Linked DNA regions of Coturnix japonica. The protein of the gene in region 2 binds, or shares a complex with, the protein of the main gene of each other region. Links are inferred from orthologs where the notes say so. Each region holds a gene or a part of one and is shown on either strand. Other genes may lie near its edges.

Region 1 (8,163 bases), on a different chromosome or scaffold from region 2:
CTTCACTGGTTGTTAAGGAAACAGCCCATGTTTTCAGTATTGTGCTGTTCATTATTATTATCTTTTTTTTAAGTGAGTTATTATAATATGTCAGGATCCTGAGAGCCTTTAGTAAAGCACAAGGTGAGAAAAAATCTCATTCCCAAATCCACACATTAAACCTTCAAAGTAGTACAGAAAGGCTAATTCACAAAATATTTGACATGACATTAAATAAACCTGTTTTACACACCCCAATTGTTACGTATCTTATGCATACAGAGTACAGGTACCTGTATCTGAAGGCCGAAGGGAATCTGTATCACATGTGAAAAAGTTCTGATGATCTTGAGCAGACAAATTCATGTCATAGTAGGTAAGAGGCTCTTTCCCAGTCACCCACATGTATCTTAAACAGGAGAAATGTCAGTAAAATGGTAATGCTGATGCCAAAGAAGATATCTGAAGTGTTTAACAACAAGTAGTGCAGAAATGTTATGTTAATAAAAGTCAGGAGCTGATCAGGAGTTTTCTTAACAGGTTGCACAAGGAAAAAAAACCTTTCTGATCCTGCAGTCCTAATCAACTTCCTTCTCAAGAAACAAACACAGAGGGTTACAATACAGCTGCATCTTCTCAGAGGAGAGACTTAAGATTCAGAATCACTGTCTCAATCTCTGAATAAAACATTAACAGCTGTAAGACCAGGACTTTCATAGAGAAGAGGAAAATAATTCCAGGAATATTTTTCTCCTACTTTACTCTCAAAAAAAAAAAAAAAAAAGATATTTACAATAATATTTGCATTCTTAACATTAAGACTGTCAAAGCTTGGATAGGTGCCTTTTAAACACAGGACTGGCATCAATCACCCTTGTAACCTTGCAGGGCTCGGCCGTTTCCCAGTACAACCAGTACAAGCTCTGCAGTGAAGCCATGTGTAGGCTCCCAGTTAATACTAACAACATGCAATGGAAAGTAAAACAGTTAATACCTGCTATATTCTGCCCCTCTGAAAAGATTAAGAGGATTTCGCCACATCTTGCATTCTGAAAAAGAAGTATTTTTTGAGTTAAGAGCACAAACAACATTGCTTTGTGTTTCATATGCAGTTATGAAAACGCTACTTTAATTTTAAAAGCCAATTTAATTTATATTTATCCAACTGGATCTAAAGTTACTGAAACAGTTTTAGCTGAACGTGTAATCTATTTCCTAAGGGAATAAATAATGCTTTAGATCAATTAACTCACTGTGTCATTATTAACATCATAGGATGTAGGCCATTCTCCAGTCATTACAAGCAATAGCACAGGGCAAAATCCCTCAAATCATTTGAAAGCTTCAAGCTGAATGCAAACTGTAGGGATGTGTTAGCAATCACCTGGCATGTTCTGCCTGTTCGCCTCATTCTCTCCAGCTGAGAATGCTGCTGGTGCTGGAGGGTTGTTTTCCACGCCGCCAATGAGTGGCCTCAGGTGACTCACAGATACCTGCTCAATGAAGGATGTGCCATATTTTCGGAAGTGCCACCATTCAAATACCTGTTATGGGAAAGAAAGCACTCAACATTTCCTTAGGCAACAACACCCTTCCGATATAAACACCAGGGATGGAGAGAAAACCGCACAGAGAAAGGACATCCCCTTGCAAATGATTCCAGACAGAATATATACCTAAAAATCAATGGTAATTATCTATTTCAGGATTGTCTTGTCACACAGGATTACCCAACATGGAAAAGATGGAAAAAAAGGAAAGTTTTACTCTCATTATGTTCCTCTCTCCCCAGGTCTTATTGTTACACTATGGACAATAACATATTAATACCTCAATACATGCACAAAGCACCAAAATACAACTGTAGGAAGCTAAACTATCTACTTTCCAAGATAGAAACAGTAGTTTCTTTCCACTGCTGTCTTTGCATGTATATTTTAAAATGTTTATATATTTATGCATGTATTCACATGTGTATACAAATAGACACACACCTCCTCAAAACAACCCTTCAAACAGATGCAATCTACTTTCCCTAAGCCTGGGCAACACACAAGTTAAAAAGTATATAGAATACATATGGAAGGATACTAAGTAACGAGCTCCTTCCTAGTGCAAAGGCACCCTCTAGAGTCTGACTGAAGAAGTCAGTTCCATTGAAGGTGAATGGCATAATCTCGGAGGTGCTGAAAAGGCAGGGAATAAAAGGGAAACAAAAAAGAAGAGCTGCCTACTTACAAATATCAGTCCGGATATAAAGGATGAGGTCACTGTGAGGGCAAAGTAGAATTTTGGAGTCAAAGTGCTTAAGAACACAGTCACTGTTGGGAGACAGAAAAACCAAGACTTAATGAGCAGAACTGAAAGACACAAAAAGGGGTTTTATTGAACAGCATTGCCTAAAAATCACACATATATGGTGTGAGATTATCTTTGGGGCTTCAATGGATAATAGTGCTTTATTAGAGCTGTTTTTGCCTGGATGTATTGCTGTGACAGCTCACTACTTACACAACCATCAAAATATGACCATCACATAACAACCTCCTGACGGCACCGGGCACCAACGCGTCCTTTTAGGGCCTTATTCCATCTTAACTTAAACCCATGATGCAAGATACTGCCCTGATCTCCATCAAGGCCCTCGAGGAAACGCAGTTCTCACCCTACAATCACCGAGGGTTCACCACAGCCCGAGGACAGCACAGTAATGGGGGACAAGGCCCGGGGGGGACAAGGCCCGGCCTGGAGGCCTCGAATCTACACCGCCCCGTTCCCCCCCCCCGCCTCACCGGCCGCCAGGCCGTCCCGTAGCCGCAGCGGCACCCGCAGCGCCAGGTAGAAGAGCCCGAGCCCGGCGGCCACAGCCAACATCCCACGGGCCCACGGAGCCGCCGCCCGCCGCCTCAGCTGCTCCCAGCGCCGCAGCGCCGCGGCCACCCCGGGACATGGCGGCTCCATCCCGGTACCGCAGCCGTCCGCCATGATTAGCGCGGGGGATGCCGGGAAGGGGAAGCTCCTTAAACTTCGCCCATCTCTAAGATGGCAGCAACGTAGCGTCTACCCGCAACCAACATGGCGGCGAATGAGCTTCCGGTCTAACCCAAACGGGATTCCCGGCATGCTCCGCGCGGGGCCGGGCCCTGAGCTGCCAAGATGGCCGACTTCGAGGAGCGGGTGTCGGACGAGGAGAAGGTAGGGAGCGGCCGACCCCGACCCGAGGACCCCATGCTGCCTCTAGGGCCGGCCCCACAGCGGGCAGGGGCTGCCCTTCGGCTCCTCCCTTTCCCCGGGTTCATTCAGTTTGATCCCCGTTCCGTTCCCACACTCCCTTATCCCGCATCGCTTTGGTGCGGAGCTGAGGGGATGGGATGTGGAGAGAAAGGTTCATATTGAAAAGAGGAGAAAAATAGATTGTTCTTCTGGCTTATAAATGTGGGAAAATTACCGTCTGAGTTGCCACAAAGGAAAAGCTGGCAGCCTATGGCCATTTCTTTCCCACAGCTGCAATGCCTTGTATCGTTAAACTGTTGCATTTGGGGTTTTTTTTGCGTTGTTTCATGGAATTCTGCTCTGGGATGTCAACATTCGGGGATCCTGTGAGCACGGAGTCGCTTTTCTTTTCTCCTTTTCCTCCCTGGTTGTGCTTAATGTCAGCAGCTTTATGGTGAAGGAGGCTGGCAGGGCCTTACGGATCCATTGGGCCATCAGTGTGTTAGATCCCAGCAGCACTGAAACCAATAGAGCAGAATTCACCTGGAAATTAAATCCCTCCAGTGCTGTATCAAATCTTTGACCTGCTGTCATTCGGCTGCTACCATGGAAATCATTGCATTTGAAATGAAAATGGGCCCTTTTTCCTCTTTCCTCTATATTCTATGGCTCTTTCACAGCACTTTCAGATGGATGCATCCTGCACCGCCTGTGCCCCAGCATTTCATTTGTCCAAGCAGATAGAATTGCACTTGAAACTGGAACCTTTGTTTGACTTCATGTCCCAGCACAGGCAGGTTGGAATCAGTCTAAGTAGCTCCATGGTGGAAAACGATAATGAATTCTAAGAAACGTACAGCAGAGCTTTATTACGCCACCTGTTTAATAAAGAAACCAACAATTAAACAAATGATAAAATTCACTTGTGCCCTCATACATCCCAACCCTATAAGCCTTGAGGAAAGCCAGTGCTCAGGAATCATGTCTGCTGCAGTGATGGGCAGCTTCTCTATCAGCAGCTCTCCCCATTTTGGAAAGAGGAAGTCAGTGTCGTTTGCTTGCTGCAGAGCTACCTGAAATGGCAGCGATGGGCAGGAAATGGGGCAGCTTGCAGAAAACCTTATTTTAATGCTTCTGCAAAAGAACTTCCTGCCACTGTGCTGACAGTGCACTGAAACAAACCAGCCCTAAAAACGATAAGTAATAGTGATTTGAATGCATGGCGTTTAGGATTAAGTTCTCTATTGTCTGCTTCTTTCGCTCTGCTCCTGATTTCAATGGTTTGATTTAAATGCTTTTTATTTTATTGCTCCACAACTGAATCGATGCGAGGGCTGCTTTAAACCACTGAGTGGTTTTCTGTGGCATGAGCTCCAAGTACTGTATCTGCAAATGCTTCAGTGCATTGTTACACCTGTACCAATGCTTACACTTGCGCTTCCTTAGAAAAGGACATTGTATCATTTCCAGAGTATTTCAGCCCTTCAGGGCTGTCAGTGAAATCCACAGAGGATACAGAACAGAAGCATCCCTCTTAATTACTGCTGGGTTATCTTCGTCACCATCCGAGCTTCCAACAGCGAAGCCTAACAAGGTTGTGAAGCAGTACATCCTAATTACAGTTCTTTGGACAGTGAAAAGCTCCACACAATAAGAACGACATTGTTAGGATTATAATATCTTTATCAGCCTTATTTAAAAGCAGGAAATCATGAGAAAATGGTTTTACATTTTTCCTAATATAAACTATACAAGTTACCAACTCAAGTCAACAAAATCCAGTGTAAGTTTTTCACTTGTACTGTACAATAACTTCATGCATAAAGAATGTACAACTTTCAAAATAGATTCTAATTTGGAAAGCAATCTGTTTTTATCTGAAGCTCTGCCCAATTAAGGCAGAGCAGTTACTTGATACTGTTGGAATAAGGCAATTTACCCTTTGTTTGGAAAGGTGTGAGTTTTCATTCATGGCTTGCTTTAAATGTGACAATTGATACAACTATTTCCAATTAAAACATGGCAGACAGGAGAGAAACAAAGTGTTTTTCCAGCTGTGGCAGCTGAAATTACTGAATTACTCCAAAATTCTAATAATCCCAGAGTTGTGTGAGATTTTGGGTTACAGTGAAGTTGTTTTATTTTTCAGAAGGAAACTGCTTTTGTTTTTACAGCCTCAGAGTTTACAGATATTTGGGTATTTTCCTTCCAGTTGACCTTTTCTCTTATTTATTGTAACACAGTTCCAGATGCCTTCATTCTTTCCTTACAGTGACGACTCATGGCTGGACTGTGCTGCAGTTTCCAATAAAAGACTATTGCAGGATAAGGGAAGGAGTAATGAACCAGAGAAGAGTGGCCAGTAAACCTTGAGAAAACATGCCAGAAAAGCTGGTACACTGCATGGAGCAGATCCAGTTCTTTTTGTTAACTACAGACTCCAAAGAGACAATAACTCTTGAAATCATAGCTTGACATCGATAACAAGAAACCAGGACATCCTGTAATGAATCCCTATTCAGCTCCTGACAAAGTCAGCAACAAATCCATAAGTCAGGGTGAAGTTAAACAGGTTTCCTACACTGTTTCTGGATAGGTTTAGGATATAACAGTTTGAGTACATACATTTAATGTCCTTGCACAGGACATCATGCTAAATGTTTGTGTAGTGGATACACAGATACACACTTGCAACTCTGTACAGAGAAGTAAACAGTACTGGGAAGGCTGAACATTTTCACAGTCACCCATGTGGAATTTGCTCTTCTTGCTACTTTTTGCACTAAAAAACAGTATCTAGCCTTATGGGACTGATGGTTTCCACTTTGAAAACACACACCTGGATTTCTCCCTGACTCTGATAATGAGTATTATCATCAGATTTGGGGGTTTTGTTTAATTGCTTCAGAGTAGGTTGCAATATGCCTGCATTCAGCAAATGGTTTTTGTCTTAACAGGTGCGTATAGCTGCAAAGTTCATCACTCATGCCCCTCCTGGAGAATTCAATGAAGTATTCAATGGTAAGTAAAGAAAAGCCATCAGTAACATTTTATCCACACCTCATCCGAGAGGCTGTGGCTGTCATAAGTTGCTTTTAAGGTCAAGTAGAAGTTGGGAAAAGCATGCTGCCATTCTGTGACTACTTACCCTTAATAAAATGAATTTAATCAGCAATGTTTATGTTTGTACAGTTGTAAAATAGAGAAACATTTGATCAAAAAACCCAATAACTTACATGTTCTCTTCTCCAGATGTCCGGTTATTGCTTAACAACGACAATCTTCTCAGGGAAGGAGCAGCACAGTAAGTATTCATGTTTCAAGCATAAAGACTATGCCTCTCTGTGGTGGTAATTTGACTTACACCCATCATCTTGGAACAAAGGAAGCCATTTGTTTCATTGAGAGCAGTCTGCTGTAGTTCCTTATCCCCCACCGAAATATATAATGAAAGGCATGGCTGGTTCTTTTTAAAAGGCTTAAATTGGAATTTGTGGTGTAGAGGCCGTACATAACAGACAGGAAGGCACTCTGCCAAAAAGGCTAATTCTGCAGCAGCAAGAATGGCTGATCTTGTTGAAATGCGATTTGGTGAGCAAGTGAAGCCTGAAATTCTGAGCAGTCCTCAGCCAGAGCATAAAATAAAAGCTGCCTTCAAAAACTGCTTTCAGAACATCTTGTTTACTTGCACAGTCACATCAGAAGGTGTCTACATGCTATGCATAAAGGGCTTCTGATGTTTTATTTAGATCTGTGTGACACATCCGTCAGCAGGTCTTGACAGAAGAAAATTGTTGTAAACATTAGTCTACTCATATTTGTTTACCTTGCTGCCTGTTTTGCATCAGCTTGCTCATTTTCCCTCAGGCTCCCTTCTGTTCTACTTTTGAACTCTGTACTTTCATGATCACTGAATAAGCCTGGCTTTAGACCCAGATTATTACAGCTATCAATGTGTGGATTATTTGCAAGTTGCAATTTTCCCTGTAGTATGAGTCATACCATGTGCTTATTACTAAAAGAATATGAATATACGTACAGCTAAATTTCATGCTCTTAATTCTTAACAGCGCATTTGCACAGTATAACATGGATCAATTCACTCCGGTGAAGATAGAAGGGTATGATGATCAGGTAAGGAAAAGCTTTACACTCAAGATTTCTGTTACTGCACAGAAGCAATATCTATTTTATCAGGATCTCTATGATTTTCTTTCTACATGCAAATTATCATCTTTTCTTCTTCCCCCACATCATCCCTGCATTACCAAATTGTTGTTCTTGTGTAAGAGGCAGAGGCAAAATCTTTCCTTAGAGCATTGTCTGTTACTACATGGTGACTAATTCATTGTTAGGTAAAGCTTCACACTGAAGTCATTGGAATTCCAGATCAAGTGTGAATGATTAAAGATTACTTTAACTCCCTACATTACTGCATGCTCACAGTTCCTACTGGTGAATTCTCAGTGTTACTTTTTCCTGTGGTCTCACGTTTATAGCAGCATAAGAGCATTTTGATTTTTGTTTCTTATTTTTCAGGTCTTAATCACAGAACACGGCGATCTGGGCAATGGCAGATTTTTAGATCCAAGAAACAAAATCTCTTTCAAGTTCGATCACTTAAGGAAAGAAGCTGGCGACCCTCAACCTGAGGACACAGAATCAGCTTTAAAACAATGGAGAGATGCCTGCGACACTGCACTGAGAGCTTATGTGAAAGATCATTACCCAAATGGCTTCTGCACTGTTGAGTATCCATCTTGTTTCACTGAAAATCTTTGCTGTGTGTCATTCAGTAGTTCTGTCTTCATTGGTTCTTTTGGCTAATTTTGGAATAAATTCAAAAAGGGTGCAAATAATCTTGGTATGCACGTAGTGGTAAAGATTTATTGGACCCTATTGTTCATATTAATGACTTTCAAATACCTTAACACCTGCTATTAAAGAATAGGAGGCATTATTTGCACTTAA
Region 2 (8,165 bases):
GGGAAGTATTTTTGATTTTAAGTCTGTTATGTAGGTTAGTTTTTGTGCTCTGAGTATGTGAAATCTTCCTGAATGCTTCTTCCTCCATTAGCAAGACGAAGGATATTTTCTTCTAGATATGCTAGCAGCTCCCAGTAAGATTTGCACCTGTGTAGAAGAAGCGTGTTCTTTCAGTGCTGGTGATTTTGTGTCTTGTCAGAGAGGGTTCCCTTTTACACAGATGTGCTGTGCCTATCATTATCTGGGATGAGAGATAAAGTGCAGATTTCATAGAATGATAGAATGGCTTGGGTTGGAGGGGACCATAAAGATCATCTGGCTCCAATCACGGGCAGGGTTGCCAGCCACTAACCACATCGGGCTGCCCAGAATGCCTCCCAGTCTGGTCTTGAATGCCTCCAGGGATGGGGCATCCACAGTCACTCTGGGCAACCTATTCCAGTGCCTCACCACTATCTGAGTAAAAAATGTCTTCCAAACATCTAACTTAAATCTCTCTTTTAGTTTAAAGCCATCCCCCTTCTCCTATCACTATGTCACCTCCACTTCTCCTGTTGCTGTCAGATCATGTAAAACGTTGGTCCTCCCTCCTGTTTGCACATTATCTTCAAGTACTGGAAGGCCAAGATGAAGTCTCCCCAGCCTTCTCTTCTCCAGGCTGAACAAGTCCAGTTCCCTCAACCTTTCTTTATAGGAGAGGTGCTCCAGCCTTCTGATCATCTTCATGGCCCTCCTCTGGACCTGCTCCACATCCTTGCTGAAGACCCCAGGTTTGGACACTGTACTCCAGATGGGGCCCTTAAGGGCAGAGAAGAAGGAACAATCACCTCCCTCTCCCTGCTGCCACCCCTCTGTTGATGCAGCCCAGCATACAGTTGGTCTTCTGGGCTGCAAGCACACACTGCTGGCTCATGTCTAGCTTTTCATCCTCCAGAACCCTCAAGTTCTCCACAGAGCTGATTTCAGTGTGTTCTTATCATAGAATCATAGGGTTGGAAGGGACCTACAAGATCATCTAGTCCAACTGTCCTCCCACTGGAGGAGAGCACTGATCTCAAGCCCAACCTCTGGGGTACACCATTTGTGACTGGCCATCATGTAGACAAAGAGCTGTTGACAACAGCTCTCTTGCTATGACCATCCAATTCTGGATGGATGGATTTATCCACACTGGATAAATCCAGTGATTAGTCCAGCCTTCAAATCCTCCAATATAGAAATAAGGCTGTGGCGTGGGACCATAATATAGGGCGTGTGCACCAAAGCTGCCCCTGGCTGTCATTTCTCCAGTGTTTAAAGTCTGAGTCTGTTAAACATTTCAGCTCCCTGCTGCCATATTTTCTCCTTTTACTTCACTTGTAGTATTGCTGGCAAGTAGTTCTTATTTCAACAGAGCATTTAATATGAAGAAACTATCTGCTGGTGCCCTGTCTGATCAGTCCTCATTCATTGTCCTTACACGTCCTCAGGTCTGTACAGTCTGTACCAGTGGTGGACAAGTGATGAGGATGTCAGAAACGTAATAAGTAACTTGGATGTGCACTACCTTAGGATAGCAAAACCTCCTTTTCAGTTATTGGTGGAGCACAAGATGGCAATTGCAGACTGATAGGTGATGGGAGCTGAAAGAGAACCCCAGGTAAATGAACTGGCTGCCTATGTGAACTTCAGCGGTGCTCCGAGGCTGTATCCTCAACCTTTGACAACTCAAAGCAGCCACAAAGTGTACAAAGCCCGGAGACAAAAGGATTCATTTTTCACCAGAACCGCATTATGGCCCAAAGACCAACATTTTATTCTCATTGTTTCCACATACTCTGGAGCTGCAGCTGATAACATATGGATTTCACCCTTCCTTCAGGCTGAGCCTTGAGAGCTTGCCAATGTGCACCTCAGGCCCAGCCCAGGAGCCTCCTATGCTTTCATTTCCAGTTCTGCGGACAGCTATAAGCAGGAGGATTCATAGGCAGGAGAAAAGCCTGGGCTGTTACATGGTTATGCTTTGCCTTTCAAGCCAGGAGTTTCTCAAGTTGCCAAGGACTGCATGGGCTCTGCTCCAGGGTTAGTAGCATGCGTGGGGCAGTCAGAGCCCACAGAGATCACAGAGTCTTTCTGTGTAGGCCAATGGGCTCAGAGCCAGGCCTCTATAACCAGCCTCTCTGCATCACGCCCTGCCTCACCCCTTGAATTTTCCTTTTCCCTTTGCCAGCAACCTAAAGGATTGCAGCGGCCACCTGCTTCCAGCCCGCTGCCTGTCCCTTGCACACAGCAGCAGGGAGTGAGCCTGAGATGTGGCATTCGAACACATGCCATCCCAGGTGGGCGCTGTCTAAGAGGCTTTCCCAAGATGCATGGGCATTTCTGCTCACAAAGCTGCAGAGTTTAATAAGCTGCTTAAGTAGCGCAAGCTTAACTTCATGGAGCCCCCAGGTGCATCCAGTCTTCTCCCAAGAGGAGTGGTACCGCTCTGCATCTCTCCAGTGTGAGTGGGAGCTGCTCAGCTGCTTCTCACCAGCTCACTCGTGCTCAAAGAACTCATGGCAAGCAGAGGTAACCATGGCAATGAAGGCCACGAACTCCTGGAAGTCACACTCTGCATCCCCATCACTGTCCAGTGCCTCCATGACTTTGTCCACGGTCTCCTGGTCTTTGATCTCCTGAAAGGGCAGAAATGGATGTAGTAGCATCTGCTTAACAGCAGCCCTACCAGGGCACCTTGAGCCCCACAGGGTAAGGGTGATAAACAGGGTGATAAACCGTCCCAGGGAATGAAATCTCCCTAGTGTCCAGCCCAAGCCTCCAGCCCTGACACAGGCTTTGTCCTGCCACCACCTGCTCCTGGGGAGCTGGAGCCTGAGCCCAGCTGTGCTATGTAGAGGGCAATACTCACACCAAGGAAATGAGTTAATTCATTGTTAATGAGCTCCTTCAGCTCCGATTTCTTCAGCTTATGCTTGTCTCCTTCCTTCCCGGAGTACTGGTGGAAAGCATCAATGATGGCAATCATGGCCTTCTCCAGCTCAGACATGGTCACAGCACAGTCCTGAGATCAGAGGGAGGCGACGGGCACATCAGCAGGGTTAGGCTGCAGTGATGCATCAGAGCCCTGCTGCAACCCCCCACCCAACAGCAGCACAGGCAAGCTCTGCCAGTGGCTCTCACTTCAGAGAAGATCCCAGGATCTGTGGTTCTAAGGGGCCTTGGCTCTGAGTGCTCCAGGTGAGCTGCAACACAGGGAGTGGTGGCAGTGGGACAGGTGCATTCCCTGGAACCAACAGGAGTGTGCAGAGCGTGGGAGAGAAAACTGGAAGGAGATGGGTGGCAAAATCCTGGAGGCTTCTTGCGTTTCCCATATGTGCTGAGCTGGCTGTCAGCTGGGACAGGGTCATTTGCTAAGCTTGTGTTGCCAGTCCCCTTTGGGAAACCTGCATAGCAGAAATGGGCTGCGGGAAGCACAGAGCACTGGTCTGTGCCCAGGATGGGGCTCCAGCTCTGGCTCAGAGCTGCCTTGGATCTGCTGGACCTCCCCCAGGTCTCACCGTGGCTGGGCTGCATCTCAGTGCTGCTGCCTGGCGCTCCCCATGGGAAGGAAGCCCACTTTCAGATGGCTCAAACCACTATCAAAGTGCGGCAGGAACTGGACAGTGTCCTTGTGCCACATTCTCAGCTGATGGAGCACCCGTTTAATCACGCATATTGTCACCTCACCCAACTCTTTTATTCCTACTGGTCAACCCGTTGCTTTCCTTGGCAAGTTGGGGACAGGAGCAGGTAAGGGTGGGGGGATGCATTTCAGAAAGGCTTTGCTTTCCCTTTTATTTCAGGTGCCCACACCTCTGCCCTTCTTGCCTGCAGGCCCACTTCCAAATGAACAGTCGGGAGGGCATGAGGATTCGATTTTGATAGTTGCAAATAGAAAGAAACAAGGGCAACTCCTCTGCCTGCCTTCCTCGCACATCTGACCTGGTGCAGGACTACCAATAATTTCAGCTATTCCTGCAGATTCCACAGATATCCGTACAAAAATAACCCGACAGGGAGGGATGCAAATCCACCTTCCCAGAAGCTGCTCAATGCATTTACACTGGGCTTAAAAAACGCAACGGTTTGGTGTCCGGTCCTCGTTAAATACATACCGCAGGGGTAAATGTCTGCCATTGGTTAACTCAGCTCTGCACCGGCCTCTGCGGTGAGCAAAGATCTCAGCTCCGGAATGGCAGAGAACCATGGCGAACCAGCCAACCAGCCCGCCCGTCGGCTGCTCCCCCACCCCACCCAGAGCCCCATTCCTTCTCACCTCCCTTGGCGATGCTCAACGCTGCGGCTGCATCCCAGCGGCTGACCGCCTTCTTATGCCCGTGGGCGTGGAGCTTCACCCGTGCCGCAGCGCCCGGGACCAATGGCAAAGGGAGGCCGGGCCGTCCCGACAGCGGGCTGGGCTGTGCGCAGTGGCACACGGACGCGCATCGGCGCCCAGCCGACCCACGGCGGCCGTGGGGGCTGCTACAGGAGGCGGCCGTTGTGAATAGTGCGGGGAAGCAGACCCCGTGCACTGAGCAGCGCGGTGCCGGAGCGTGGCCGTGCCGCAGCTCTGCCCGCACGGAGCCGACGAGCAGCAGCGGAGCTGCGCGACGCTCCCACCCGCGGCCCGGGGGCTCCGCACGGCGCAGGGGCTGCGCGGCCGCTCCGTTCCGCGCCTACAACCGAGGCGACGGCGCCCGTGGCGGACCGTGCCCTCGCAGAGCCTCGCGGAGGGGCGGGCCGTGTGCCGGGAGCCCGAACCCCGTCGCTCCGTCCGTCTCCCCGCGCCCGGACGAGCGGCGGCGCTGCCCTGCGCTGCGCTCATCTGCTGCACGTGGGGCCGGCACGCGGCGCGGAGACCGTCCGCCAAACACAGCGAGCGCAGAGGCACCGAGCGGACTTTTATTGCGCACCTCAACCCGAGCCCGAGCTTCTGCTGCCGGCACAGCTGCCGCCGCGCGTGGCCGGAGGGAGAGCCCGGCGGCAGCGCGGCGATGGGGCGGCCGATGGACGCAGAAGGAGCCGGGCCGGGGGCGGCTGCCGCCAGAGCTCAGCGCCTAGTGGGGGTGGCCGTGGGGGTGGGGGCCCGGCGGGTGGTGCCCGGGCGGGTGATGGCCGGGAGGATGATGCTCGGGCGGGTGATGCTCGGGCGGATGATGGCCGGGAGGATGATGGCCGGGCGGGTGATGATGCCCGGGAGGGCCGTGCGGTGCAGGTGGGTGCCCAGGCCCGGGATGTGGCGGCGGCGGCCCTCCGTGTGGCCCTGCAGGAAGAGGGGAGCGTCAGGGCTGCGGGGCGGCCACGCGGCTCTGCTGCAGCTGCAGTGCCCCGGCCGCCGTGGGAGGCTCCTGGACCCGGGCGCGGCCGGGCTTGCGGGCAGCGGGAGGGGACGTGGGCACGGAGCGGCCTGGCAGCGCGGGCACCCCCAGGGCCGCCCGAGCCCTTCCCACGGGCGCTCACCTGGGTGTGGGGATGACATCTTCTCACGGCCCCGAGCTGCAACGGAAGGAAGCACCGCGCTGTCAGCGCTGCCTGCCGTGCGCGACCCTCGTGCCGGGCGTCCCCGTGGCCCCAGGGCTCCAGCCCACGTGTGGCCCCGCACGGACGGCACCGCCTGTCCCACACACGTCCCCGTGGCCACCCCGACCCTCCCGGGGGTCCCAGCTGCAGCCGCCCTCCCCTCTGCAGTCCCGGCACCACCCCGGCTCGTGGTTTCCCTCGCTGATGCAAAGAACCCGACCCCGGCCTCACGCAGCCCCTCGGGGCGGCGAGGAACAGCCGAGCCCCGTGCCGGGCCCACGGCCTCGGGGCCGCGTGGCTCCACCGAAGAGCCGGCCCTGCTGCCTCCCACCCCGCCGGCCGCTGCCGCTCAGCACCTGCACAACCGACCGCACGGACAGCACGGCGGGACCGGCGGCGTCCTCACGCGGCACACGGGCTGTCCGGGCCGGCCTCGGGCACCCCGTATTTATACGGGACCCTGACACCCGACGGGCACGGCTGCCTCATAAACACGCCGATGGCTTTACGGTGCCATCATCATGGGGATGCCCAGCAGACACACGGCGCACCCAGCACTGCGCACAAAGGTCTGCAGCCCTCGCCGGGCGCTGGCAATGGGTGGTGGCTCCTTCCACCAGCTCCTGATCCCGGCGGTCAGGGCCAGGGTGGGTCCGGCACAGCGGGTCCAGGCACGGAAAGGGGGCACGGGCAGGTTCCTTCACAGCCACTGCACAAACCTGTGCTGGAAAGACGTGCGTGGCACAGAGATGCTACACTGGCTTCTGTTGTCTGATGCACGAGGTCAGTGGGTGTTTGGTGCCTTCTACTTTGGGTCTGGCAATAAAGTTTCCTCCTGTTGACTTTCAGGGCGATCCGGGTTCCTTTGTGCTGCAGGGTGACACTTGTGTAAATCAGATGGAGCAAAGTTCAGGACAAAAAGCCCACAGTGCTGGCCGTAAATTCTTGTGGTTACCATTCAGCATTGGATGTTGGATGGTGCTGTGGGTAGTGAGGGAGGGGCCGTGGCCATTGAGGTGTAAAGGATGACAGCATGCATGGCGTGACACTGCCATGCAACCCAAGCTGGAAACCTGCCTGTTATCAGGGTTAGATGTGCGCCTTCAGCCTTGGCCATGTCCCACCTCTGCAAATGGGCAGCTCCAGGTTTCTGCCTTGTTCCTTGTACAGGGTCCTTGGCCAGTGTGAATCAGTCTACACCCCACCCCTGACTCCAGCCCAATGTTGTGAGTAATCCTTGAGGCCTGTGAGGAGGTGAAGTGTCAGACTGTGCTAGGCTGGGAGCTGGTGCATTTCTGAACATGTCAGCGATGTGCAACGTGCCGCCAATTCTTTCATCTTAAAATTCATGGTCCTGGCCTTTTAATGAAGACTGTGACCTCAGGGAAACTTTCCTCAGGTCACTGCTTTCTTGCTAAGACTTTGGACTGATATTTTTGGAGAAACAGAGGGTTTTACATAGCCCAAAGCTGAGCACAATGCTCCAGGCCTCTGCTTTTCTCTCTCCCTAGTTTAACACAATGTGAGGTCTTCATAGCAGGCCCAGAGAGAAGAGGCAGTGTGTGCCATTGTGTCCCTGCTGTGCGTGGCACCAGGCTCTGCCAGACCACGAGACAAAGGCTGGCGGTCATTGAACTGGGAGAAAAAACCCGTGAGGGCAGAGGAATGTGAGTAGGACGGGAAATAAACGCTCCTGCCTCTGCAGGGCAGCACACTGGGAACAGGGTTCTGCAGGCTCCATAGCTCTGCGTGCCACTGTGCTCCTTTGAGCGCAGGAGAGATGGGATAGGATCCTGGCAGGCAGCCTGAAACCACCTCCAGAATCAGGAAGCAGCAGCGAACACTGGGAGTCAGGCTGGTGCCCATAGCAGTCAGTGGAGAAAGAAGATGGAGTGGGCTTGTATAAAGCAATGCCCAAGTTGCATAATGAGTGCGATGCCTGCGGCAGATCGATCCTATAAAGACAAGAAACTCAAGCGGTTCACCCACCATCGCTGCCTTTTGGCAAATAGTGCTGGAAATTAACTCAAGGTTTCGGCAGTTACAGGGAAGCAGAGATCCCTGTGAGAAGCTCCTCCCAGGAACATCGTTCTGCTTTCCTCAATTGTTTCCCCAGACCAAAACAAAACATGGCTACAACGCCCCAAATACAGCGCTCCTATGTGCGCTTCAATCAGCGCCAGCCATTGAAGCCGTGAGCAGCAGCACCACAGCTCTCCCTAGTGAGAACGGGTGGTACGGGACGGGCAGGGCTCTCATTGAACCCTGTGCAAGCATAGGAGATTCAAATATGTTTGTGTAGCCATATTAGCTTATACTTACATGAATAATAGAAATGTACAGCAGGGAGATGGGACTTATGTACTAAGCAAACGTGCTGTGAAAACTTTCAGATTGCAAGTACAAGTTACAGACTCAAATGAGCTTGATTTGTGGAGATGATTCACCCTGAGCCTGGCACAAAAATAAAGCGAGGACTCCCCTTCAAGGATTTCTCTTTTCGGTGTATTTTGGGCAATTTTGAAATGCACATCAATGCTGGGAGCGTGTTTTGCAACCCCGTGGCTCCAGCCTTTCCCACACTACCCATGGCTGCAGGCACTGCACAGCCTATGTCTCTATGT
Region 3 (8,004 bases), on a different chromosome or scaffold from region 2:
CATAATGTGATAACTTAAACACGCAGACTAATTCACTCACTGTTTGAGTGTTTTTCACATTTAATTATTAAAGGATTTTCAATCAGCCATAGGAACATGGTACAGCACTCCCAGCTCCATTCAGAACTTCAAGAATGGGAGGGAAGGCTCACAAGGTTCCCCTGCAAGAAAAGCTTAGCAAGGCTACATCTTTAAACATACTGCAAGGCATATATTTCATGAACCAGAAAGGAAAAGAGTTAGAATACCTTCATCAGCATCACCTTCAGTTATGGATTATTGCGCAATTATATTCACAACTGACTATTAAAATCTTACTTCTACTCCAAAATGTTCTGACCCTCATTTCCTATAGTCTCCAAGTCTCATTTGGGGCAATTCCAGAAGTTAAGATTTCAGACCCTTCCAAAACAAATGATTAAGAGCACAAACTGACTTACTAAACATCGACATTTAATTACTTTTAAAAGAATAACTATCAGTACAAAAAGCCCTACTGATGCTTCTAAGTTCGTGGGTGGGTTTCCTCCTGCACAGGGAGCTCTGCTGCCAACATACATGCTGCTCTGCTACACAGGAGGCTCGAATCCGGGGGTTGGACTCGATGATCTCTAAGATCCCTTCCAACCCGCACGAGACTGTGAAACTGTGTGTGATACTGTGATACAAAGCCTTGACACGAGACAATGCATTTTACTGGCTTAAACTTTTCATTTCTAAGCATTTACTAAAGAAATGAGTTTTCCTTAACCACTCTAAATTCCACTGCAGAGTTTTGCTGCCATATTCAGTAGCTTTCTAGCTGTTCACGCCTAGTTCAATAAGCTGTCAAGTTACCTAATGCACCAGGGAATATGTGGTAGCAAAGCAAGTTCACTTTCACAGATGGGACTATTTCCTCATCAGAAGTCTTGTTATCCCTCCAGCCAGTTGGCCAACTGCTCAACTCCACCTTACTCAATACGCCTCCCTGAACAAGTAGGAGTGCACTGAGGCATAACCTTACTGAAAGAGGCGGGGTTCCTTTCTGATACCTTTGACAATACATGGACTTTTATGCTCAGCACTGTAAGGAAAGCGAGCTGCTTTTGCATTAAAAAATACCACGTTATGTTCTCTAATTTCCTATCAATGCTCTCTTCTTTCTTCACTAAAGACATCTCTGTTTCCTCAGCCTGCCTCCACGGCTATTTAACTCCTGTGCTTTGTAGTGAGAAGGGTTTACATTGCAAAAGGAAAAAGGACAAAAAAAAAACCCTACAGCAAACACATCATGGTGAGTCAGCAAAAGGCACTGACTACAGAACATCACAGAATCACAGAATTATAGGGGTTGGAAGGGACCTCTAGAGATCTTCGAGTCCAACCCCCCTGCCAAAGCAGGCTCCCTACACCAGGTCACACAGGTAGGCGTCCAGCTGGGTCTTGAATATCTCCAGAGAAGGAGACTCCACCACCTCCCTGGGCAGCCTGTTCCAGTGCTCCATCACCCTCACCGTAAAGAAGTTCTTGCGCACATTCGTGCGGAATTTCCTATGCTGTAGTTTCATCCCATTACCCCTAGTCCTGTCCCCATGCACTACTGAAAAGAGACCAGCCTCACCACTATGGCTCCCACACCTCAGGTATTTATAAACATCCCTAGGATTCAAACAGTTGCAGCCCTGCTTTGTGTGTGCTGCTATTTATTAACAAGTATTTACATTAACAAATACATCTGCAATGAAGACAATACCTTCCGTTGATCACTGCTTATATTCATGTAAATAAAGTGCAATTCTTAGATGCACGCTAATAAGCTCATAGAAAAAAAACAAAACATTTTTATATTTGCTTATCAGTTTTTCATGGCCACAGGCAGAATGATTCGTACAGGAACTGAAACACAACTACACTGCTAAAAGTGGTTATTAAGCATAAAATCTACTACAAATATGTTGGATAAATAAATAGCTTTTGTATTCAAGACTTATTCAGAGGATAAATTACCTCCGAAGTGAAGGAAAGTGATGATTTTCCATTACTTCCTCCCTTAAAAGTTCTGTATTCCAATATTTCTACCTCTCACATCTCATTTTGATTTACAGACTGAAACATAAGCATAATATTTTCTTTTTTCCACCTAACTGAGATGTTCCTCATTTTCAGTGACCTACAGAACACCACAAACCCACTGTATCTCAAAGAAGCTGTCTGTAGTACCGGGCAGTCCCTGGTGACCCATGGGATGAAGCAGCTCCCCTTTGACGACAGGCTGAGAGAGCTGGGGCAGTTCAGCCTGGAGAAGAGAAGGCTCTGGGGAGACCTGAGAGCGGCCTTTCAGTGTCTGAAAAGGGACTATAAGAAAGAAAGAGACAGACTCTTTAGCAGGGTCTGCTGTGACAAAACAACAGGAAATGGTTTCAAGCTTAAAAAATATGAGATTTGGACTAGATATAAGAACAGTTTTTTTATAATGAGAGTGGTGAGGGACCACAACAGGCTGCCCAGAGAGGAGGTAGGTGCTGTCTCTGGAGACACTCAAGGCCAGGCTGGACGGGGCTCTGAGCAACCTGATCCAGCTGTATGTGTCCCTGTTCACTGCAGGAGAGTTGGACTAGATGGCCTTTAAAGGTCCTTTCCAACTCGAACGATCCTATGATACACCATCCTGCACATTAAAGTGATGTTTCCTTGCAGTTGCTCTTCTCCTTCCTTGGTTTTAGAGCTCCCTTACCTGAACTAAGCACTTTTTACTGCCCTTGCAGCACTTACAGTTCCTGCCCACACACAGAGGTAGCCACAAACCAAGTACAATTCATAACCTGTGCTATCACTTAATCCCTCACTATAGCTACATCTCCATCAAAATTTCCTATAGCATTAACATTGTTTATGTCAGTCTTTGATGCCATTTGTTTCGTATAACAGGAGAAAGTTACACAGAGAAGCATATATATACACATACATAACACTGACAAACTTTCAAAGTGGTTCAGACTCACGAAAACTAACCCACATGCCTCTTCTGTGACAAATAAAAACCTGGAGGTATCACAGGATCAGCACGGTCACTTATTTGCCTATCCATGAGCCTGCAGCATTATTCATCTCTGTTTTATTGCCAATAAACACGCAGCCAGGCTTGGAAAACTTCAATCGTGTAGAATGATCAGTGTTATAGAGGACAGACATGGGCAGAGGAATGAATTTAATCTGCAATGGAAAAATGCTGACTTTATTCAATTATACAAAGGCAGAAGAAGCCTCCAGAAAGTCTGCACCCATTTGGAGACAAAAAGAAATACTGTAATTAATGGACAAAAGGAAGTTCAGAACTTAACTTCATCGGTCACTTGAGTACAGGCAGTGCTTCTCAGCTCATAGAGAGCTAAGAAGAAAGTGTCACTGTATCTTACGTTATTTGACAGGACAAGAGGCAATAAGAACAAACTGAAACAGGAAGTTCTGTCTGGCACGAGGAATGAAGCATTTCTGAGCTCTGTGGGTGGCTGAGTGCTGGCACAGGCTGCTCCTCCTTTGGGATATTCAGAAGCAGCCTGGATGTGATTGTGGGTTCCCTGCTTGGGCCTGCGAACCTGAGCCATCCTCCAGCCCTGGGATCTTCACTTGCAGACTCAGCATGTCCAGGCATATACTCTGTCAAGGGCACAGTGGATTAAAGCTACTTGTATGTTGTAGAATGAATACAATTACAGACTGCCACATCTAACACACGTGAATGTGAACCAGATAGAGGACCAGTCTCAAAACCTGTGGCTAGGAACAGAAATTAGAGATCCACATCTTAGCCCACCAGCGCCTCTCCAGCTCTGAAACACAGCCCTGTCAATCTTGAAAAGTACAGAGAATCGACCTCATTGTAACCACCTAAGACATTCTGGACATCCTTCTTCTAACTTCAGAGAAGTCTGGAGCATTTATTTTTCTGATGTCTCCAACATTTAAATCATCCCAAAGCTTCCGCTGCCACAACAACCTGCTTTGTTTTTTAGTACAGAAAAGCATAAAACCGCTCTATGTGAAGACATGAGCCGAGCACACGGAAAACCACACCCCAGCTCTGGGCAGGCAGCTACCATGGAGCTGGGTCCGAGGGGAAGGCAGGGAGTGCTGCTAACGGAGGCATTGTAACACACGCTGCTTCTTGAGAGATGCCTTGTGAAAACCTGCTTGAAGCCGGATGAGTTCCCAGGGCCACAAGCAGCGATCACGCACACAGACCCTGGGGTCTGATCCCTGAGCTCAGCCTTCCCCCGCTGCTGCTAACAGGAAACGAAAAAGCCTTCCTCACCCCACACCCTTCCTCCTCTAGGGCACGCCGGCTCGGGGGCCAGGCCGAGGCACGGCCCCATCCCTGGGGAGAGCAGGAGGCCCGTGAAAGGGGAAGCGGAGATGGAGGAAGAGCCGGAGGAGCCTTTTCTCTCCCCGGCCGCCGCCGCCTCCAGCGGACACAGGATCCCGGCCCTACAAGGAGCGGCGGGAGCTGCCCCGGGCCGGCCCTGCCCCCTGCCCGCCCGCGGACCCTCCTCCGGCCCCCGACTGACAGGCCGAGCCGCAGGGGCGGCCCCAAACGGCGACGGTGCCGCGACCCGCCGACTCAGAGAACCGGGGAAGGGGGGGGTTCGGCGGCCGGGAGCAGCATCCCCACCCCGCCCGCCCCTACCTTCTCCTCATCCGAGAGCTGCTCCTCCAGGTCCGCCATCTTGCCGTCCGGCGCCCCGCAGCTCCGCCCTCGCGTGCAGGAAGGGCACCCCCGCCCCAAGGCTGAGCCGCGTCTGCGCATGCGCCATGCGGGGGCGGGCACCGGCTGAGGGAAGGGTGGGCGGTGTGTGCGTGTACCACACGGAGCGCGCGGGGATAGGGAGGAGGTGGTGGAGCTGGTGTGTGTTGTGAGGATGTGGAGTTCAGTGTCTGCTTATGGCAAAGACCGGGAGACCAGGGGGTGGGGGAAGAGCTGGCGCTGGCTGGGAGTGCTCCTCACCTCCTGTGGGACGCTGCTCAGGTCCCCTCATGGCGGGGCTGGCTGAGCTCTGGGCTCAGAGAGGTGGGAGCTGAAATGCTGTGGTGAAAAACGAAACCGAAGGCTGAGAGGAGTCAGATGATGTTTGTGAGATATCCTTCCTCTAACTTGGTGAAAACCAGAGGAAAAATGGGAAATGATGCATTAGGGAAACCAAGTTCTGCTGCTTGGGTTGTGTGAAATGCTGTGGTAAAGGCTGAATAAAACGACTGAGCACCATTTCATTAATAGGGGTGCCAGTTTCCTCGGTGGTACAATAGCACGTGCAGCTGAAATAACACGGAAATCCTCATTCTGCATAATAAAACATGACAACCCTTAAGTGAATCCACACATCACGTTATTTTATTGGGTACATCTTTCAGTTGGATTAACACTAGGAAACAAAATGACAATTTGGAGCTTCACACGCATCAAGATAGATCTTAGTAGATCATAATTAGTGGTATGATATAGTCACCTTCTAGCAAAAGATCTTGGTACGCTCTGAGGCTCATCCGTCTCTGTTGCAACAGCAGCCATATAAAATTGCTTAATACTGTCACATGCAGCACAACAAAATATTCCCAGTACCTGTAGCATTCTAGATGCCCTAGAGGGACTGTTGTATTTAAATAAAAGAAAGCAATATTGTACAAGTGGTTTTTGCAGGTCAAGCGAGCACTGGAAAATTACAATGCCCTGAAAATCGATATAGAAACAAAGGATGAAAATGAAAAAGTCAATGAATGTACAATTTGGGCAACTTGTCTGATTCAGAAAAGCTGAAGAGACGTTTTAAATATCTGTAGCCATGCTGGACAAAGGTAGTTTTGTTCCTGTTGGGAACAAAATAAACAACAAACAAACCTTGTATGTGATGAGGTCCTTGCTAGAGGCAAAGCAGTGAAGCGTAGAACGAGAAAGGTATGTCCTGACATAGTTTGGTTTGGGAGCATCTCATACTTGTTATTTGGAGTCAACAACTGCAGTTAATGGTCTGTAGCATGGAATGCATTGCGTAGCATTCAGTTTCATGCAACAGGAATTGATAATTTCTATCCAAGAGTCTTAAAATAAACCAGCTGGGGAAGTCTGTGTTGATTTCCAACAAGCCTTAGGATTTGCCACCTACTGGGGTATTGCCAAGGAAACAGCTTTACTTAAAATGTAAAAAGAGGATCACTCAAGGAGGTAGATCTGGGCATATAAACATGGCTGATTTTCTCCTAAGATGTGATATCTAGCTGCTGGTTTTACTGTGTTTAAGCAAGGTTTTTTTTTCTTAACATTTGCAGAATTTTACCATGGTGAGGGGAATGATTCAGGGGAGGACTGTTGAGTCATCACAGATATTAGTGGGAACCTTCTGTGCATTACACTGGCAGGTGCTTTACTGTGACCTTAGGACTTAATGGGAAGTGAATAATCAGGATAATGTGGAAATAAGTGCTGCTCTTGCCTTATGACTCAGTGTTTTGAAGTGGTTTTGTGTCTTTTCAGGAAGAATATGGATACTTCATGGGGAGTTTAAAGGAAGGAGAACTAAAAATATTCCTGAAGATGCAGAGCGAACTGCAGGATGGGAAGCTTAAGGATGCCAAGATTAAGAAGTGACTTAGAAAATATCTCCTCGGGGGGTGACTGCAGTATAAAGCAGTGATGCCTGAGTTAGTTTGGAATTTATCTGCATCTTATCTGAAGTTATATTTCCTCACTTGCTGTTTTAATTTGTACAAATTCAGTTTCCAACCGGTAGCTCTTATTATGCCATGAAGTTCATCTACATAGCTTTTTTATGTGCCACTGTCTCTACACATCGATCAAAGGTTAATTTGCACTGCAGTTACATGCAGTAAAGTGAAACATCCAATTGCTAACAAGCCAACCCAAGTTTAAGTGAATTTCTAATCCCACATTGGAGCTCACTCCGGGCCGCCTGGTCTGTCTGATGAGCAGTGTGTGGTTTACTGATGCAAGGAGAGAAGGGCAATTTAAAATAAAATAGAAAAGCAGCCATTGAGTCTATTTAATTTTATCAGACACCGTAGAGCTACTAATCAAGTACATTGCTGTTCTGCTTTTGTCATTTATTTCGGTATTGACTCTGAGCAGTATTTGGTCTTTGCAAACCTCCCAGTTCTCTCTTTTTACCTTACAGTATCTTAACAGTTAAAGCAAATAGGTTTATTCGAGAAGAGTTGAATGGTAAATCCTTACATTAAATGCTTAAAGTCATGTAGGGAAGAAAGCTATAATGCAGTCTAGCTCTAGTGCAAACTTTAGACTGAGCTCCTTCCTTGGCTAACACAATCTTTTAGGTTGCAGCAGGTATTCAAGAGAATGGCTCAGTAGCCCTTCACCATCTGTGGAAGTCTGAGGATATTTAGGCTTTTTCAGTGACGTTTATAAGATTGTTGCAGCATTAAGTTTCACAACTATAATATTTATTGAAATTTTGCATTGTATTTTATGTTTATGACTGTGCATGTCACAATTGTCTGGATGACAGGCTTGATATTTAGAGTAGACATTTTTTTGCTGTTTTGGGGGCTGATTTTACCATTGCATTCAGATCCGATCCAGGCTTGCTCGGTGGCTTCCTACTCTGCTTCTATTCTTGGGAGCTTTCTCAGCTTCTTTTTCCATCCCACCCCCTCCAGGAATAGTCAGCTATATATCTTGCCTTATGTAATTCAAATTCACAGTCCTAGGTTTGCCTTTCTTATTTCATAGACAAGTATCTATGTTTTAGGAATTATGAAGGCTTCTCTGAAAGTCATGTATCCTATTTTCATGAGTCTGGCCCACAACCGGAGGTGGTGATGTGGCATTAGAGGTTGAAACTTCCCACCAATATTCTGTTAAATTTTGATGCCCTGCAACAAGATGGCAGCGGAGGGGCAGCCTGAAGGGGGTATACTCATTCAGAGTGGGATTATTTGTGACACAGAGTTTATATTCAGAGATAGGAATGCACAAATGCAGGGTGAAAAAGAGCA
Region 4 (4,028 bases), on a different chromosome or scaffold from region 2:
TTTAAATCCCTTTAATTCCACCTAATCTGAAGCATGTGGAGGAGCAATTTACAGAACAGGGAACCGCTGCTCTGATACGTAAGGAGGACAAATGTCAGGACGGGCAGCACCATGCGGGCTGTGCGCTTCTCTCAGTGCTGCCAACACACATCACCCCATGGCACAGGGGAAAGGACAGAACTCTGCAAAAACAACCATCTCCAGCTCTTCCCTCCAGAGTTCCCCACGCAAGAGGAGACAGTGCTCAAAGTGTATCATGGACAGAAACCTCTCTGCTTCCTCCCCTTTGATCATCACTGTCTTCACTTTTAAGCTGAAATGCACACAGAGAAAGACAGTTACTCCTGAATAGCTTCTGCTCAACAAGGGATGAGCAGATGCACACACACAGGCCAAAATAATTAGCTTGGAGTGGTTGGGTTTGTCGTAATCTCATGTCATCTGTGTTGCTCTGTGTTTGTGTATGACAACAAGAGTTTAAAGGCATGCACAGCCATGATGGCAGCTCCCATCACTATGGCAATGCAGTCATTCAGCTCTGCTCCATCTCTAGTGCTCTGCCCCACACAGGTTTTTCTACCACATAAGCAACATTCCAAATAGGCAGAAAAAAATAGAGCAGGGAATAAAAATAAAAGAACTGGAATAAATGAAATCATAGAATGAAATCATAGAATGGCCTGGGTAGAAAAGGACCACAATGCTCATCCAGCTCCAACCCCCTGCTGTGTGCAGGGTCACCAACCAGCAGCCCAGGCTGCCCAGAGCCACATCCAGCCTGGCCTTGAATGCCTGAAGAGATGGGGCATCCACAGCCTCCTTGGGCAACATGTTCCAGTGTGTCACCACCCTCTTGGGGAAAAACTTCCTCCTAAGATCCAACCTAAATCTCCCGTCTTAGTTTAAAACCATTCCTCCTTGTCCTATCACTGTCCACCCTTGTAAACAGAAGGAAGCATGATGAAGCGAGCTCAGTCCACAGGACAGCTCACCCTCCCACTGCTTCCTCAGCACAGCTCTGAGACAGTGGGTGCTGGCTGTGACCAGCTCAGCAGCTGCTCCTGGGGAGCAGTGGAAAAACCCCCTGACACAATGAGTTGGGTGCCTCCGCAGCACAGTGCCAGCACCTCTGCTCCGTGACTCAGAAAGCAAAGGTTGGAGGAAGCTGGCTTTACACCTCGATGGCAGCGATCCCAGGCGATTTACGTAACGCATTCCAGAAAAGTCTCTTTGGTTTCTCTCTTTGGTGCCACCTTGCCCTACAGAAGGTGAACCTTCCTGCCCCTGGCAAACAGAACCTCACTGCGTGCAAAACTCCACCAAGTCCTTCTCTGCCATTCACAGATTGTCGGCTCCAGGTGCCTGCAGCAGCGCCCAGAGGTGCAGAGTGCCCATGCTACCGAGCACATCGCTCACCTGAAGCCCGAGGGAGCAGAGCTGCTGGTGTCCCACCTGGCACAGTGCTGAGGTGTCAAGTGCCTTCCAGCACCAGCACTCTGCTCCCAGCCCTGCCGCCAACCTCCAGCCCTGCCAAGGAGAGCTGGGAAAGGCAGCCTGCAGCTGCAGTTTACAGAGTACACATCCACAACTAATGCAATGGGGAGAGGAGCCCTCGCTGCTGCCACAATCTTCCTGAGGGACTTTGGCTGATGAATGTGGTGCCCCCGTGGCTGCTTCCAGCCAGGGGAGACGTTTGTGGTGTTGGCACAGCTGCCACCCAGCACCCGAATCCCCAGGATTAAGTGACACACCAATCCTGCCCATGGCATCTATCGCCCCAGGCACCAGCATTAGTTTCCTCCCACTCCAAGTTTGTTTTCCAGACAAATCGCATCCCCCCATCACACCCAGCTTTCCCTGAGCACGTTATGGCCTCAGGACCACGACCCAGTCCCCGAAGGACACAGGCACATCCCCACACCCCAAGCAGAGGTGAGTGCACAGCACGAGGCGCAGCCGCCCACCCCTCACATCTGGCTGTGACAGCTGGGCAACCTGGCCTCCGTTCCCAGCAGAGCTTCCTTAAGAGATAATTTTAAGTAGGAATAAACGAAACTGACCAGTTAACCACTGTGACATCCCTCGGCACGATAGGAGGGGTAAGAGGCAGAAGGTCTAAAACGGGAGAGCGGCAGGGAGCGAGCGAAGCGGGACAAAACCCGCACGAACCCATCCCGAAAGCCGCGAGCTGCAGCCGGGCTGAGGAGCCGTTTGTGCTCACACCTCGGCTGCACCACAGCGAGGAAAAGGTTGCGAGCGGTGCCGACGTGCTGCGGCGGCTGCGGTGCGAAGCGCGGTGCGGGCAGCGCACACCTGGGCTGGGGGGGCTCGTTAAGAGCGAAGCGCACAACATCCAGCGGACAGACGCAGGACGGCGGCTGGGCAGCGCTGAGGCGGGCGGGGGAAGCTCCCAGAGCAGAGCCGTGCTCGCGTTCACAGCTCGTACCGAGGAGCCGAAGGAAAGCAGCGCAGCCGGCAGCTCCCAGCGATCCGCCGCGCTTCCCAACCCCGCGGGGCTCAGTTGGAGCAGCGGGGCAAGAGCGGAGGGAGGGAGGGAAGGAAGGGAGGGAAGGAAGAAAAGGAGCAGGCCGGCCGGGCTCTCCTTTGTTCCGCGAGACCCCTGGGGGTCGCCGCCCGTCTCACCCCGCTCACCTCCGTATCCAGCTGCACCAGCTCCATGTTGGGCCAGGGCTCGGCCAGCTGTGCGAGCGGCATCCTGCCGGCGAGCAGCCCCGCAGGGCGCGGCAACGCTCGGCTCCGTGCCCCGCGCTGGGCACCGGCTGCCCGAGCCGGGCCGGGAGCGGCGGGGCGGGGCGGGGGGCGGCGCGGCTCCTCCCGGCTCCGGGGCGGCTCCGAGCTGGTCTCGGGGAACCGTCGCTCGGCTGCGCTCGCTGCCCTGGGCAGCCCACTGCGGTGCGGAGCCTTTCCTTAAGCCCTTCCTGACCCACCCCCGCCCTGCGCTTTTCCTTCAGGCAGCGACGTGAATGAAGGATCGTGTGTATATCCACGCACACCTTTGGATTCTTCGGTTGGAGATGAGTGGCTGATCGCGGTGCTCTCCTCGAATACGGGTAACGAACCCCTCCCCGCTTTGCCTCGGTGGATGCTCGGAGGAAAGGTACTGTGAGCACAGCTGCTCAGAACACATGCGGCACTGTTTGGGTTTGCCGGGTTTCTCGTGCAGGAGGAGTTGTCTTCTTGCTTTTACTGAAATCCAAAGTACCACGTTTTCAACCTCTTTAAAACGATTTGTTATTAAAAAAACAAAAACAAATAACCACGTCAAAGGGTGCATTGCTAAGGGCTGACTTCATCAAGGTGTGGCTGAAATATCATTTAATGAGCCCAAGGGAAAGCACAGCACACAGCTCTGCTGCTGCACTCTGTCCCGTGAAGCCATCCCTGTGAGGCCCGAATGCCGTGAGCTGATCAGAGGCGGTGAAGGTGAAGAAAGCTGAAGTAGAACAGAGCACAGCAGGCTGAGAAACTCCACTCCATCCTCACAGCTCTCAGAACTGATCTGTGAGCCATTACTAGGCCCATCTTGTTCACACGTGCAGGAATCCGATGTAAGAAATTCCCACGGTGAAAGTATGTGAGCCCAGCACTGCTGTCTGTGCTTGGAGCACCCCTCTGTGCTGCAAGCACTGAGTTGCAGATGAAGGCATTAAATAACACAGATCCACCAGGCTGGTGCTAAATGAGGCCAATTAAACTGATGTCACTTACCGTTGGAGCAAGCTGAAGCAGATCTTGCGGAGAGTTATTCATTCAGCTCCGAAGCTGTCCATAATTTACCCTTATTGTTTGGTACATGGTGTGCCGTTTGCTTGCATCCCTCCTCCAGCTGCTGCAGATTGCAACCTGTTTTAAATGGCATCGATAACACGATGATGTCAGTGCTGGCATCCCGCTTACCTTCTATGTTTGTTTGCAAAATGCAGCTCCTGTTCTGGATTTCCAGCTACTCTGCATGCAAACCAACTGGGAATGCGTAGAGGAGTATGAGGGAGGAGAACAAAATGAGA

What was found.
Region 1: the proteins of S100B (region 2) and CAPZA1 are in contact, whole or in part, in an NMR structure (PDB 1MQ1), measured with the Homo sapiens proteins. The link is inferred for Coturnix japonica from reciprocal best matches to the Homo sapiens genes S100B and CAPZA1. Residues at the interface, in NP_006263.1 of Homo sapiens: Glu46, Glu47, Lys49, Val53, Lys56, Val57, Thr60, Phe77, Met80, Val81, Ala84, Cys85, Glu87; in NP_006126.1 of Homo sapiens: Thr265, Arg266, Ile269, Asp270, Trp271, Asn272, Lys273, Ile274, Leu275.
Region 3: the proteins of S100B (region 2) and CAPZA2 are in contact, whole or in part, in a crystal structure (PDB 3RM1), measured with the Bos taurus proteins. The link is inferred for Coturnix japonica from reciprocal best matches to the Homo sapiens genes S100B and CAPZA2. Residues at the interface, in NP_001029727.1 of Bos taurus: Ile37, His43, Phe44, Leu45, Glu46, Ile48, Lys56, Val57, Thr60, Phe77, Met80, Ile81, Ala84, Cys85, Phe88; in NP_001013016.1 of Bos taurus: Thr267, Lys268, Ile269, Trp271, Ile274, Leu275.
Region 4: the proteins of S100B (region 2) and RPS6KA1 are in contact, whole or in part, in a crystal structure (PDB 5CSJ), measured with the Homo sapiens proteins. The link is inferred for Coturnix japonica from reciprocal best matches to the Homo sapiens genes S100B and RPS6KA1. Residues at the interface, in NP_006263.1 of Homo sapiens: Ser42, His43, Phe44, Leu45, Glu46, Ile48, Val53, Val57, Ala84; in NP_002944.2 of Homo sapiens: Ala697, Met698, Ala699, Ala700, Thr701, Ser703.

What each region holds. Positions count from the first base shown.
Region 1 is NC_029541.1:3,609,500-3,617,662, forward strand, and holds the start of CAPZA1 (F-actin-capping protein subunit alpha-1), read left to right. Parts: upstream 1-3,058; 5' UTR 3,059-3,135; coding exon 3,136-3,174; intron 3,175-6,149; coding exon 6,150-6,213; intron 6,214-6,444; coding exon 6,445-6,496; intron 6,497-7,262; coding exon 7,263-7,326; intron 7,327-7,731; coding exon 7,732-7,938; intron 7,939-8,163. Other genes in the region: ST7L (suppressor of tumorigenicity 7 protein-like), read right to left, coding at 273-388, 974-1,028, 1,364-1,523, 2,218-2,300, 2,772-2,964. UniProt on the Homo sapiens protein: F-actin-capping proteins bind in a Ca(2+)-independent manner to the fast growing ends of actin filaments (barbed end) thereby blocking the exchange of subunits at these ends.
Region 2 is NC_029522.1:2,448,645-2,456,809, forward strand, and holds S100B (protein S100-B), read right to left. Parts: upstream 4,723-8,165; 5' UTR 4,298-4,722; intron 3,044-4,297; 5' UTR 3,029-3,043; coding exon 2,891-3,028; intron 2,658-2,890; coding exon 2,517-2,657; 3' UTR 1,765-2,516; downstream 1-1,764. UniProt on the Homo sapiens protein: Small zinc- and- and calcium-binding protein that is highly expressed in astrocytes and constitutes one of the most abundant soluble proteins in brain.
Region 3 is NC_029516.1:22,329,127-22,337,130, forward strand, and holds the start of CAPZA2 (F-actin-capping protein subunit alpha-2), read right to left. Parts: upstream 4,795-8,004; 5' UTR 4,787-4,794; coding exon 4,667-4,786; intron 1-4,666. UniProt on the Homo sapiens protein: F-actin-capping proteins bind in a Ca(2+)-independent manner to the fast growing ends of actin filaments (barbed end) thereby blocking the exchange of subunits at these ends.
Region 4 is NC_029538.1:170,207-174,234, forward strand, and holds the start of RPS6KA1 (ribosomal protein S6 kinase alpha-1), read right to left. Parts: upstream 2,801-4,028; 5' UTR 2,716-2,800; coding exon 2,653-2,715; intron 1-2,652. UniProt on the Homo sapiens protein: Serine/threonine-protein kinase that acts downstream of ERK (MAPK1/ERK2 and MAPK3/ERK1) signaling and mediates mitogenic and stress-induced activation of the transcription factors CREB1, ETV1/ER81 and NR4A1/NUR77, regulates translation through RPS6 and EIF4B phosphorylation, and mediates cellular proliferation, survival, and differentiation by modulating mTOR signaling and repressing pro-apoptotic function of BAD and DAPK1.